3 linked regions of the Arabidopsis thaliana genome follow. The protein of the gene in region 3 interacts with the protein of the main gene of each other region in a pairwise test. Each region holds a gene or a part of one and is shown on either strand. Other genes may lie near its edges. The genes, in order: AT2G17600, AGL49 and SOM.

Region 1 (4,074 bases), on a different chromosome or scaffold from region 3:
TGAGAGACTATGATAACCTATATGACAGCAATTAACCTGAGTTTATTATTAGTGTTTTTTGATTATTTAGTTTCAATACGTAAATAATCCAACGCATCATATGTCACCCAATAATTTTATACCATTCGGCTCTATGTAGACTTTGGGCTTTGTTTCTTGTTTATGTTTCGGCTAGGCTATCTTTTTTTTTTTGTCAAGATTTCGGCTAGGCTATTTTAGTTTATGTAATTGTGCATGAATTGATTTTTTTCTGCTGGACCGTACATATGGAGCGGACCATGTCTGAAAAGTCGAAGCCATCCAAAAGGAAAAATAATAATATATTTGAGATGAAAGACACGAAGTAATATTCCTACTTACAGTATTAAGTTTGTAATATTCATGGTCCATTTAACACTAACCAAAATTTTCGGCTTTATTAACTTAGGTTACATTGTTGCCTTATGTAAACTCAAACACTTAGATAATAAATGTTGAATCTATTACAAAAGAACTCTTCACGGTCCCAAAAACTATATAAGGCTTATTCCTTTTCGACATTGTCAAAACTTTCAATGTCAGATGTCCAAACACAAAGCCAGGAACAAAAAACCTTCTCAAACAACTTGTAGTACACCGAATCCGGGCAACGATGATCACACTTATAACAAATCGGTCGAGTATGACTATTGTTCCCAAGAATTTTCATCGATGCAGAGCCGAAATAGAATGTGTAACCTGACTTAATATAAACGGAAGATCCGAATATACACTCAAGGTGGATAGTGATACAACATTTGTTGCATGAGTAGAACCATTCTCTTGGATTCAATTCTTTCTCGCATACTTCACACCAATATGCTTTCTCTGCATCTTCTCCATAGCAAAGCGACAGAAGATGTGCATCATATTTGTAGTATAACTCATATGGAATGGTCGCACATCGATAACACATAGCAAATGAGCAAATAGTACATTGCAGATAATACTCATCACGAACACTATCTTTGCAACCATCACAAGAAATGTTTCCTTTTCTAGAATATGATGTGGAGATGAATAAAGGATGTTCATGACTTTTGTGGGTGAAACAATCAGGAACTAAAATGCATCGAAAATCTATCTGAATTGTTATCTCATCATCGCAATCAGTTTTTGAACATTTGTACCTGAAACCAGTGGACTCACGGGCGCAAGTTGAACAACTTGTGGAACTGTAATCGAGTATAGGAGAAGGGTCTAGAACAAGAGGATGCTTATGCAATGCATGAGCCAATTTTCGAGGAAGACCAGCACATACCTCGTGAAGAAAGAAGTCACATTGCACACAGTTGTAGAAATCATAAGAGTCGATACGAAGGATGCACGCTTGACATTGTTTCTTTGCGTCTCGGACACTATCATACTTCTCAAGCTTAAGGTGATGTTCATGACAAAAATACTTGATCATATTATCACCCACTTTCTTAAATGGCACAATATCTTCAGTTTCATCGAGTTCTTCTGGTTCCCATTCGAGTTCTCTTCCGTCCCAAACGTGCATATGTGTTGCACATTTGGAATGGGCAACATAAGAGCAACCTTCATGATCGCAAGAATACTGGCCATATTTGATGTCGACTGTCTTGTAGCAAACTCGACAAGATGGAGTTGTAGGTGGAAGGAAAGGAGTGTGAGAGAGACGATGTGGGTGACGCGTTATTTTTATGACACGCGGTAAGTTGATACAACTCTCATGAACCAAATAGTTGCATTGGAAACAAGTATAACTTGGTTCCAACAAACTAACCAGCTCACAAGCTTCACATGGAATTAAGAGGGGCCAAGGAAATAAAAAGAGGGAATGATGGTGGCTTTTTGGATTTGTAATTGTAAGAGTTGGAAAGTTTTGGGAGCAAGAGAGATCTAAACAAAAGTTACAAATAGAACAATGATAGAATTGAGATCCATCTCTCAAATCATCTCCACACCAATTACAATTTTTGAATATGTAACCATATTCGGGGTTTTTAGATATGATCTCTATTTCAGTGTTTTGAGTGGTGAGGGTGAGAGGATGTTGAAGGTGATAAGGGTGTGTGAGCTTCCTCGGATACACGTGACAAATATCGTGGAACTCCACATCACAAGTGGTGCAGGAGTAATGGAAGGTAGAACATGGTGAGGGTTCTTCTTTGTCGCATGCGAAGCAACCCGATGGAGGGATTCTTCCGGCTCTACGGGAGAGGGTGTGAGAGTGAGTTGGATGAGACAAACGACATATTGGCTCTTCTTCATTAGCAGCCATTTTCTTTTTCAAAGTTTTGGTTAGGATCCAATCTGTTTATCTAAAATATGATTACTTCCATCGTGTGGAGATGACTTGACTAATGTGGACACAACTTATATGATTACGACTAAATAATGTAGACCCAATATACAAATTATGTGAAGTGCAAATTATACTATTAAAAATGACACGAGATTAAATTTAATACAACTTCATTACATGATCTGTCTCTCCAGACTGATATCATCTGTGACAACGAATTAACAAGAATTTCTTTTGGCCAACAAAATTAATTAATTCCACTGTTTATTAATTAAAAGAAGAATACGTAGATACGTAAGAGTTACAGGGTGTGAGCAAGGCCAGGGTAGGGTGGTTTGGCCCCCTTCACTTACCATTGACTTTTAATAGAGTGGGCTGGGCTTACAAAATTTATGTTTGTTATGTATTAGTTGATCATATATTATTTCATAGAAATTTCAACAAAGAATTCATATTTGTTTCATCCTAGCTGATTTGGTGAAAAGTCGTTAATATAAATATATCACTTCACAAACAACAACAAAATAAATACTCCCTTTGTTTTAATTATTTGTAGTTTAACCAAAAAACCTTTGTTGCAAAAAACAACAACAAATTATCTTCTATGCAAAAATTAAATGTATTTAATAATTTTTGACCAATTTTATTTTACAATATGGTTTTTTAATTGGTTGAATTAGTTGTAATTAATGATGTTTTATGTAAACAAATAAACTAAATGAGATTTTGATGATTTAATCTGTGCTCAAAACCTTTAGAGTACAAATAAATTACAACAGGAGAAGCATTACTTTTAATTATTAAAGCTCGTCATTAGTAACACAGAAACAAACAATAAAATGTGATGGCCGTTGTTATCGCTCATCCTTGTCGTCCATATTACTTTGCCTAGCTGATGGACTATATCTGAACGAGGAACGGCCAATTTAGCTAGTTTAGTCCATTTCTTTTGAACAAAGCAAACAATAAAATTTATTTGAATCAATTATGAGAAAGCCATTTTTTTTTAATAATCTTTGTAGAATTGCCATTTTGATTTTGGTATTTTAAATTTGCCACTTTTGCTGAGACAAAAAAAAACAAACAATTTTGCCCTCTCCATTAATCACACATTCACCATTTCGGTTAGTTTCTTCACAAATTCATATGTTTTGTCTAATATATGTAATATGTCATGTATCTATAAAATAGATAATATTTATCAATTAATTATATAATTACTGAATTTCATAAAGTGAAAAGAAATAAATAATATTTTTTTTTTTTTGTCGTCAACTTTTCATTATATTATGAAAAGAGATACATCAAACAGCGTTCCAAGATATTACAAAGACAGAGTTTTGTACTCTAGCTGTTTTTGCTAATCGATCAGCTTTAAAATTAAGGACACGTGGGATTTTTGAAAAACCAATCGATTTGTATCTGCGGCAATATTTTCGATGTCCCGGAGAAATGTTGCTATCGGTGAATACTCACACGAATGTGTGGTTCTGGTTATTGGCTGAAACAGAGCTGCAACATCACCATGAAAGATAATGTCTTCATAACCAAGCCTCTGTAGATGAATCATTGCTAGTTTAAGGGCTTCAGCTTCTGCTTCAAGCGGTGTGCTGGTTGGGGGTATAGACGACATTCCTCGCAGAACAAATTGAGCTTTCCTATCATAGAGGATCCATCCAATGCCTGCACAATCAGTAGGAGATATCCATGATGCATCCACAAAACAGCAATATTTATTTGCTTTTACGATAGTGTTCTTAAAGTCTTCAGATGGCCGCCGTAAC
Region 2 (3,274 bases), about 21 Mb from region 3:
GGGGATTTGATTCATGGATATGCTTATGAATTTGATCGTGAACAAAGCTTATATGTAGTTTCATGGGTACTTTATTTTGTGTTTACGTCACAAGTTGATCAGTTGAGTTACTCCACTGAAGTTCGTTCTAATTATGAGAATGCTGATTAGGAATGTTGACTTGGTAAACACGAGGTCGAGGGACAGAAAGACTTGCTGAAGCAAACACTAGATTGACATAAAGAACGTGTCATCCGTCATTAAAAACAAGGCATCTCCAAGACTTGACAGTGAATTAACATCTGAACAAGTATGTATAACTTTCATTCCCTGCTCTAGAAGCTTTAACGAGTTGTGCAATTTAGGTTATGAACTCTTTGTTTCTTGCATGGTTTACAACGTTTTGTTTATCTGATAAGTTGGTGTTGCAGTCAAAATAGGGTTACAGAGAAAGAATAACAGAAAGAAAGGAAAAGTTTGATTAATCAATAATAAACAAGAAAAAAAACTACCAACTTTACAAACATGGATTTGTGTTGGAGCAAACATACAAGTTAAGAGATACTAAAAAATGATCAATCACCGAGAAAAGGTGAAAGAAACATGATTTCACTAACGTAGTCATCAAGTTATCAAATTGAAATCATATCGGAGCTCATCGTTTGGCAAGTATTGGTGGTCATGAGAGGATCGCTAAATGTATGAAGTGGTGGTAGTCTTGAGGCAAACTCCAGATCCCAAACATGATCATCACAAAAATTCCCTAGATTGTAAGTTTGGTAAAGTTCTGCCGCCGCCTCCTGAAGATAATTACCGCCGAAAGTGCCAAGATGATCCATTCCCGTGTAAGCTGCATCTTTTGATTCGTAATTGGAAACATTCTCGTTCAAATTCCTTGACCCGCGGACCACGTAAGCCAACTCGTCAAATACATCACACGAACCCAGCTTCTTATCTGAAACCCTAATTAGATGATCTTCTGACAATATATCCGTCAAATTAGGCTCTATCTTCAACTTGTGATCGGAGATGGCCGAGTTCTCTGAAACCCTTGCACCATCTTTTTCGGAAGAACCCGTGAGCGTCTTCTTAAGAATTTCTATCTTTTGTTCCCTGACTCCAAGTAATTGAGAGTCAAGGTGAAGGAGATGCTTCCTTAACTCCTCACGAGACAAACCCTTGAGATGATGAGGGAAGTCATTGAGATCACATGCATGATTCTTCCTCCTCTCATCACTCAAGGCATTGAACTTGGCCACGATCTCATGTAGGGCTTGTGGGTTATGATCTTGAGACTGAGGCCAAACATGGAGATCGTTGTCGGGACCGTAACAGATGAAACCGACAGAGTTGCCGCAGAGAACAGAGAGCTCTGAGGCTTTCTTCTTAAAGCCTGGAAATCTCTGTTTGAAAAAGCTCTGTTTCTTCCTATGCAAATCACCATCATCATCATCGGACTTGTTAGGTTTCTTCTGACGAGGAGCCATCTTTTGAAAGAGAGAGAGAAGATGAAACTTTGATTAAATCGTGAGAGAGAGATAAAAAGCAGAGAACTTTCGATCGTAATGGGAAGTGCAACGAGAAGGCTATGATGATTCTTTAATATATAGAGACTTAGAAGATTAGGTTTCCTCAATCCCACAACGGTCATAATTTGGTGAAAATGCGTAAAAAATCATATCTAATATGCGCGTCCGAAATCTTGTGAGGTCTTTTCATTAGATCTCGTAGTGATATTTTCCTTTTTTTGCTTCATCCTATTTTATTTAGTTTTTATGAAACGCGTAACTGTATTTTTCCTCAATTAATTGCCAACAAATATTTTATAAATCGACGCAGTCTTCTTAAGTGGTTTTGTCAATTTTATTATTTGGCTTAAGTCAATTATTTTTATTTACCTACATATTTGCTTTAAAAAGTAATAACATTTACACATGGTCTCAATAATTGGATTTGCCCAAAAAAAAAAGGTCTCAATAATTGGACAACACAAAGCAGAACATAAACACAACTGGTCATATACGTTAAACCTTAATTAACTCACAACTCATGTAATTGGTAAAAACCTGAGAGACGATTGATTTTCCCAATTTTTCAATAAGAACACTGCTTTCAGAGATAAGATCCCACAAACCGTCCAACATACTCTTCAAACCCTAGGAATTCTAGAATCGAAATTAAGTTGGATTGATAGAGAAATAGGGTAATTCGAGTCCAACGCCTTCGAAATCAAGAATTCCTCTTACCTAATTTCTCCTTCAATACAACTTATAATTTGGCAACTAATTGAGTGCATAATTACCCTCCAAATGCTTAGAGATAATTTTGTTAGTTATTCTAAGTTAATGACTAAACAAATGTGTCTTTTTAAGAAAAGTTCGTAGAAAAGCTTTTTGGTTAGTCTGTTTCGGGTTTGAATTCATGTCTTCAACCAAACTCTCCACAACTGGTTTGTGTCTGATTCAGCATTCACCTCGGTTTTGGATTTTATTCATTTTTTTTGCAGATGCGGTGGGTGCTGCAAAAAGATGTAGCTAATTGGATGTTAAACAATTTTGACTGTTTTAGTAGCTATATATCAAAAACATTAACCACAATTTGTTTTCATGGTCATTTATGGTTTTTTTTCTATTTGAACTGTTTTTATTGTAGTTTGATTATATCGAATGAGTTTTGGTTGGGTTCAGTGTTTGTGAAAATTCTCTTGGAACTGATATAAATTACTAAATTAGATCAACCGGATCATTCCCGTTTATAGTGAGACGAATGCCAAAGATGGACCTTCAAGTAGTTTCATATAAGTAACAACTATTTACTATTTAGTCCTCATTTGAGGTTGCATATATGATTGCATCGTGAGTTTTATTTGGATAAAAAGTAAAACTTATATTTTTTTCGTTTTATTTTAACTCATAATTTACTTTTAATTTTGATAGACTTTGATACATTCCTCTCATACAAAAAAACGTTACAAGACTTTATATATATATTTGTTTTGCTTCACACACATATGTTTTTTTTTATATATAATTTCTTCGATTTACTTACCCTTAATTTATGTTTAACATAACACAACTAAACACATTAGGCGAACAACCATTTCTGAATTAAACTTGATCAAAATCACCATTCGCGAGCAAAAGTGGAGTTGTCTGTTCATCTGAATCCAATTGATGATTATCGTTTTTCTCCACCGTTTCATTTGGATCATCTTTTTGAACTTGACTCCACATTATCAATAGATATCCAGTTCCTGCTATAGCAGCTCCTAACACACTGTTCACAAGAAGTTCAC
Region 3 (4,296 bases):
CATAGATCCCATACATGCATGTATGTGCTCATATATTATAATATTATGTAGTCAACACGTCTCGATATGTACATCTGTCGATGACATACACATGCCTCATATGAAAGCTACTAGCTTTCGTGTGGTGTCCAAAGAAGAACAATTGGAGAACTTGTCGCACCTTTTTATATACAAAAAAGGATGTGACATATAACTTTAGGGAGACGGTACTAACACAACTGTATTCTCGTCTACCAGGCACCAGCATAACCAAAACATAACACATTTCAGGGTGAGGGGGATGAATAATTCGAGAATTGTGCATAGGTACATTCATAAAATTAAATCATAAACATAACACGTTTCAGGGTATACGATGAGATGAAACATTTATTTTCAAGAAACGCATATCTTAATATCATTTATAAAACTTAATAGCGTAAACCGAAAACGCAATGTGATCAATCGTCCAGTGATATTTTATACGTTTAAAAGCTTAATACAAATTAACTATAAAACAAAAACCATCAGTTAATCAATATACATATCACAATGATGAAAACAGACGAAGACGAAAACAAAAAAGAAGATCAATATACATATCAATATTCAATTGTGAGGTTGTAATGTTCAAATTGATCTATTAAAGATTTAACAAAGTATACATGAAAAGGGAAAAATATCTATAGAATTGGTGAAACATTGCACAATCCGAGTCCACAAGATATTACAAGTTCAACATATTATTTGGTAAAAATCCCATCAGAAAAAGAAAATTCTAAAAAATAAACGACAATACACAAGACACTTCTGAATTAGCTAAAAAAAAAAATCTTCAAAATAAATTTGAACAAACAATCTCTCCATGCATTGACCAAACCGTTACGAACCGATTATTCTCCCATGATTCATGAATGTGATTAAAATTCTTCCACCGAAATTTACATTCTCAAGTCAGATCTCCTCCCGGCGAATCTCCACCGTCAATCCCTCAAGTCAAGAGATCATTGACCCATCCTAGATCAGGGTCACCACAAGAACCATCCTCAATGTTAGTATTCTCCCTAACGGCCGTCATCGCCGTGAAATCGTTCATCTGTCTCCGGCGAGGAGTGAAATCATCACTGAAGAAGTTCGCCTGAGGTGAGTTAGTTAGGTAACTTGGAGTGGAAGGCGAAAGAGCAAATTGCAAAGGGCTACTTGGTTGTTGTTGCTGGAGATGGAGACGCTGATTGCTCAGACCGCAGGACGACGCAAACGCGGCAGCCGCAGCGGAAACCGGAGTTGTAACGGGCGACGAGGAACTCGCCTGCAGCGCTTCCGCTAAGCTCATGGAATCCAAAGAATTCACAAGCTCGCTCAAAACGTCTTTATAGTTCATTGAACCAGCGGCTGCAGCGGCGGAAACGGCAGAAGCGGCGCGGTTCCTCAACCGTGAAAAAGCAGCGGCTTTATTAGCCGGAGACATAGGTGGAGACAGAGACGGAGATCGAGAAAGATGAGACAAATTACCCAAAAGAGTGCTCGTGGGAGAGCTGCTACAAAACAAGCAACATGGATTCTTCGCCGCAGGAGAAGGCGACGCTGAGACACCGGAAACGTTCTCCGGAGGAAGAACCCTAAGCTGACGTGGCGAATGAGCAAAGAAACAGACTTTCCTTTTACAGTGTTTACCGTCTTTACAAGCTTCAGTACGGTAACGAATAGGATGGAGCCAACACTCGAAGACTCCATGAGCAAACTCACAATCATCTCCACGGCTACAATCACCACCACGACGAAACTCGGGACAAACCTCACCGGAGTATTGAAAGCGACGAGGGTCACGACGGCGAGCTTTCTCACCGGGATGAGCAAAAGGACAATCAGTCCAATCGTGGCTTCGGCTACGAGTGCAACGACGGATCTTGAATTCGAACATCCGGAAATGATCACTTGCGTAAGGATCATCAGAGTCAGAATCATAACAGTACTCTTTATTCTCTCTGTTGTTGTCTTCGTTGTCTTCTTCATGTTCAGATGTAATCTTGTTGCTTTTGTTCCAGTTATGTTTACGCGGCGAGCGAGGGGAAGAAGAATCAGAAGGAAAACTCTTGGAAGATAAAAGAAGCTTTCTCGGAGGAATCTCCACCGTTGGCTTCCTCATTTGATGTTCCGTACAAACGACATCCATGATGATATAATATCTAACTTGTTTTTTTTGTTTGTGATGTGTTTTGGTTTTGAGGGATTTGTGTAAGATGAAAGATGGGATATTGTGGTTTATATATATGTGGATTGAGTATAGATATAGACATGAGAATAAGTTAAAACGTATATTTAAATATTGTTAGCTTTGGATTATTATCATTAAATAGAATTTTGATGAGATGTAATAAGAAGACAAGAGATTAAAAAGTGGAAGGAGTCGTGTGAAGGGTATGGGGAGAGGGTTCGTGGCGAGATAAGAGAAGAGTTTTAGAGAGGTTTCATGCAAAAGAAGCAGGAGCTGCCTTTCTCTCCTTGCTTCAGACCTAACACATGTGCCTATGTTTTCATCAGCATCATCCTCTCTTTCTCTCTCCCTTATCAACATCCATTTACTTTCTAATTTGTTTTTTTGTTAGAATTATACTTGAAAGTATAAGGATAAAACAACTAACTTTATAACAAATTAATTATAATGTATGAATTTGTCTTCTAGTTTGTTACCAAGTAGGCAAGTACTTTGTGACTTTGATACCAAAAATAAGTAACCACCCCATATATATGATTATGTTACTGTTTGATAAGTATTCTTGTTTGTTAAAGCGATCAGCATTTGAAGTATTATTTTTCCTTACTTAGGATTATTATTTAAAGCAGTTTTACTTATTTTTTCATATATTAATTTGTATTTTTGGATTTTAAGTTAAGTGTTCATATTTTTCTTCTTTTACTTAATTTTATCTCTTAGAAGAAAATATTTTAACAAAAACTTAAAATCATTAATTTTTACTCTCTTGGATACGTAACTGCTATGTAAAATAACGTAGTACATAACCGAATAAGTATCAGTATGACAGAAAATCGATCAATATATCATCTAAATTAAATGAGTAAATTGGTAAGAAAACAATTAACTGGTAGATTTAGAAACATTAAATTTGGTTCATCCCCTCGGACTATAGGTTCAATCACGTTTCAAGATCATAAAAGCGACGAAATAACAAATATAACGAAATTCAAATATAATATTCTTAGCTTGTTTTCCTAAGAACATAGTTTCACAACTTCGAAAAGTTTATATGTAAAGAAAGACGTTCTTCAAACTTAAACTGTAGAACACTTTAATTATGTAAAGATCTTCCATATAAATAATTTAACCACAACTAAACTGTAGAACACTTTAATTAATTTTAACTTAAAATTAAGAAATATTAATGACTATAATAAAAAGAACTCGTACAACCTATTTATAAAAGACCTAGTTTAATTAATTTCTTGATACAATAATACAATCGCATAATTTGTCTGAATAAATTATACACGAACTTATAGAAGATCTTGTATACAACGAATCTAAGAAGACTTTACAACACAGAAAGGATATGCACGAGATTAAATACAAAACACGTATAAAAAAAATACGTTTTTTTATTTTGTACGCCATTTATCAGCGGAAACAAATGATATTTAATTACTTTTATAATTTTCAGTCTATCTATTAATGTATCTAAAAATCGGGTGCATGTGTATGTACAAGTGTCACTTTTTCCATTGTTGCGTGGCTCTGATGGAAGCAAATACATTTTTGGTTTCTACCTTCACAAGTCTTCAACTCCATAAATTAATTATTTAAAATACCAATTTCTAACTTTTATGCCAAAATTTTGAAGAATAAAATTAAGTTCCGAAATTGTGTGTTTTCATTTGGAATCGGATAGAAGAACCACGACAAAAACAGATATACAGATGAAAGCGGTAATTTACATTTAAAGTATAAACGAGAAATTAACTAATATTGTTTCGACGGCAAATAGAACACTGGTTTTGTTACATGACATTATGTTTCGGTTTTGGCAAGTTCAATGTTTTGGGACTGGTATCTCATTTTGTATCTAATTTTTGGTTATGTCCTTACTTAAATTATGGTTCCACACAATCCAAAGCTTCTCATTTTGTATTTAGTGATATGATTACTTATATATACAAATAGTAAACAATAAATATATATATGTTTACTGAAAAATGCAAAAACATGTACCACAAATTTCTATAATAGTTACAAATACATTAATATCTTCATAGTTCTCAAAAATAACTATCTAGATGTAATATACACATAACACAACTTGT

The links.
Region 1: the proteins of SOM (region 3) and AT2G17600 interact in a two-hybrid assay, tested with the Arabidopsis thaliana proteins (one large-scale study listed by BioGRID).
Region 2: the proteins of SOM (region 3) and AGL49 interact in a two-hybrid assay, tested with the Arabidopsis thaliana proteins (one large-scale study listed by BioGRID).

Annotation. Positions count from the first base shown.
Region 1 is NC_003071.7:7,653,954-7,658,027, forward strand, and holds AT2G17600 (Cysteine/Histidine-rich C1 domain family protein), read right to left. Parts: upstream 2,267-4,074; coding exon 524-2,266; downstream 1-523.
Region 2 is NC_003070.9:22,118,464-22,121,737, forward strand, and holds AGL49 (AGAMOUS-like 49), read right to left. Parts: upstream 1,467-3,274; coding exon 612-1,466; 3' UTR 511-611; downstream 1-510. Other genes in the region: UMAMIT35 (Nodulin MtN21 /EamA-like transporter family protein), read right to left, coding at 3,087-3,255. UniProt on the Arabidopsis thaliana protein: Probable transcription factor that may function in the maintenance of the proper function of the central cell in pollen tube attraction.
Region 3 is NC_003070.9:952,445-956,740, reverse strand, and holds SOM (Zinc finger C-x8-C-x5-C-x3-H type family protein), read right to left. Parts: upstream 2,452-4,296; 5' UTR 2,153-2,451; coding exon 971-2,152; 3' UTR 597-970; downstream 1-596. UniProt on the Arabidopsis thaliana protein: Probable transcription repressor that functions as a negative regulator of phytochrome-mediated promotion of seed germination. Inhibits seed germination by regulating the expression of gibberellic acid (GA) and abscisic acid (ABA) metabolic genes.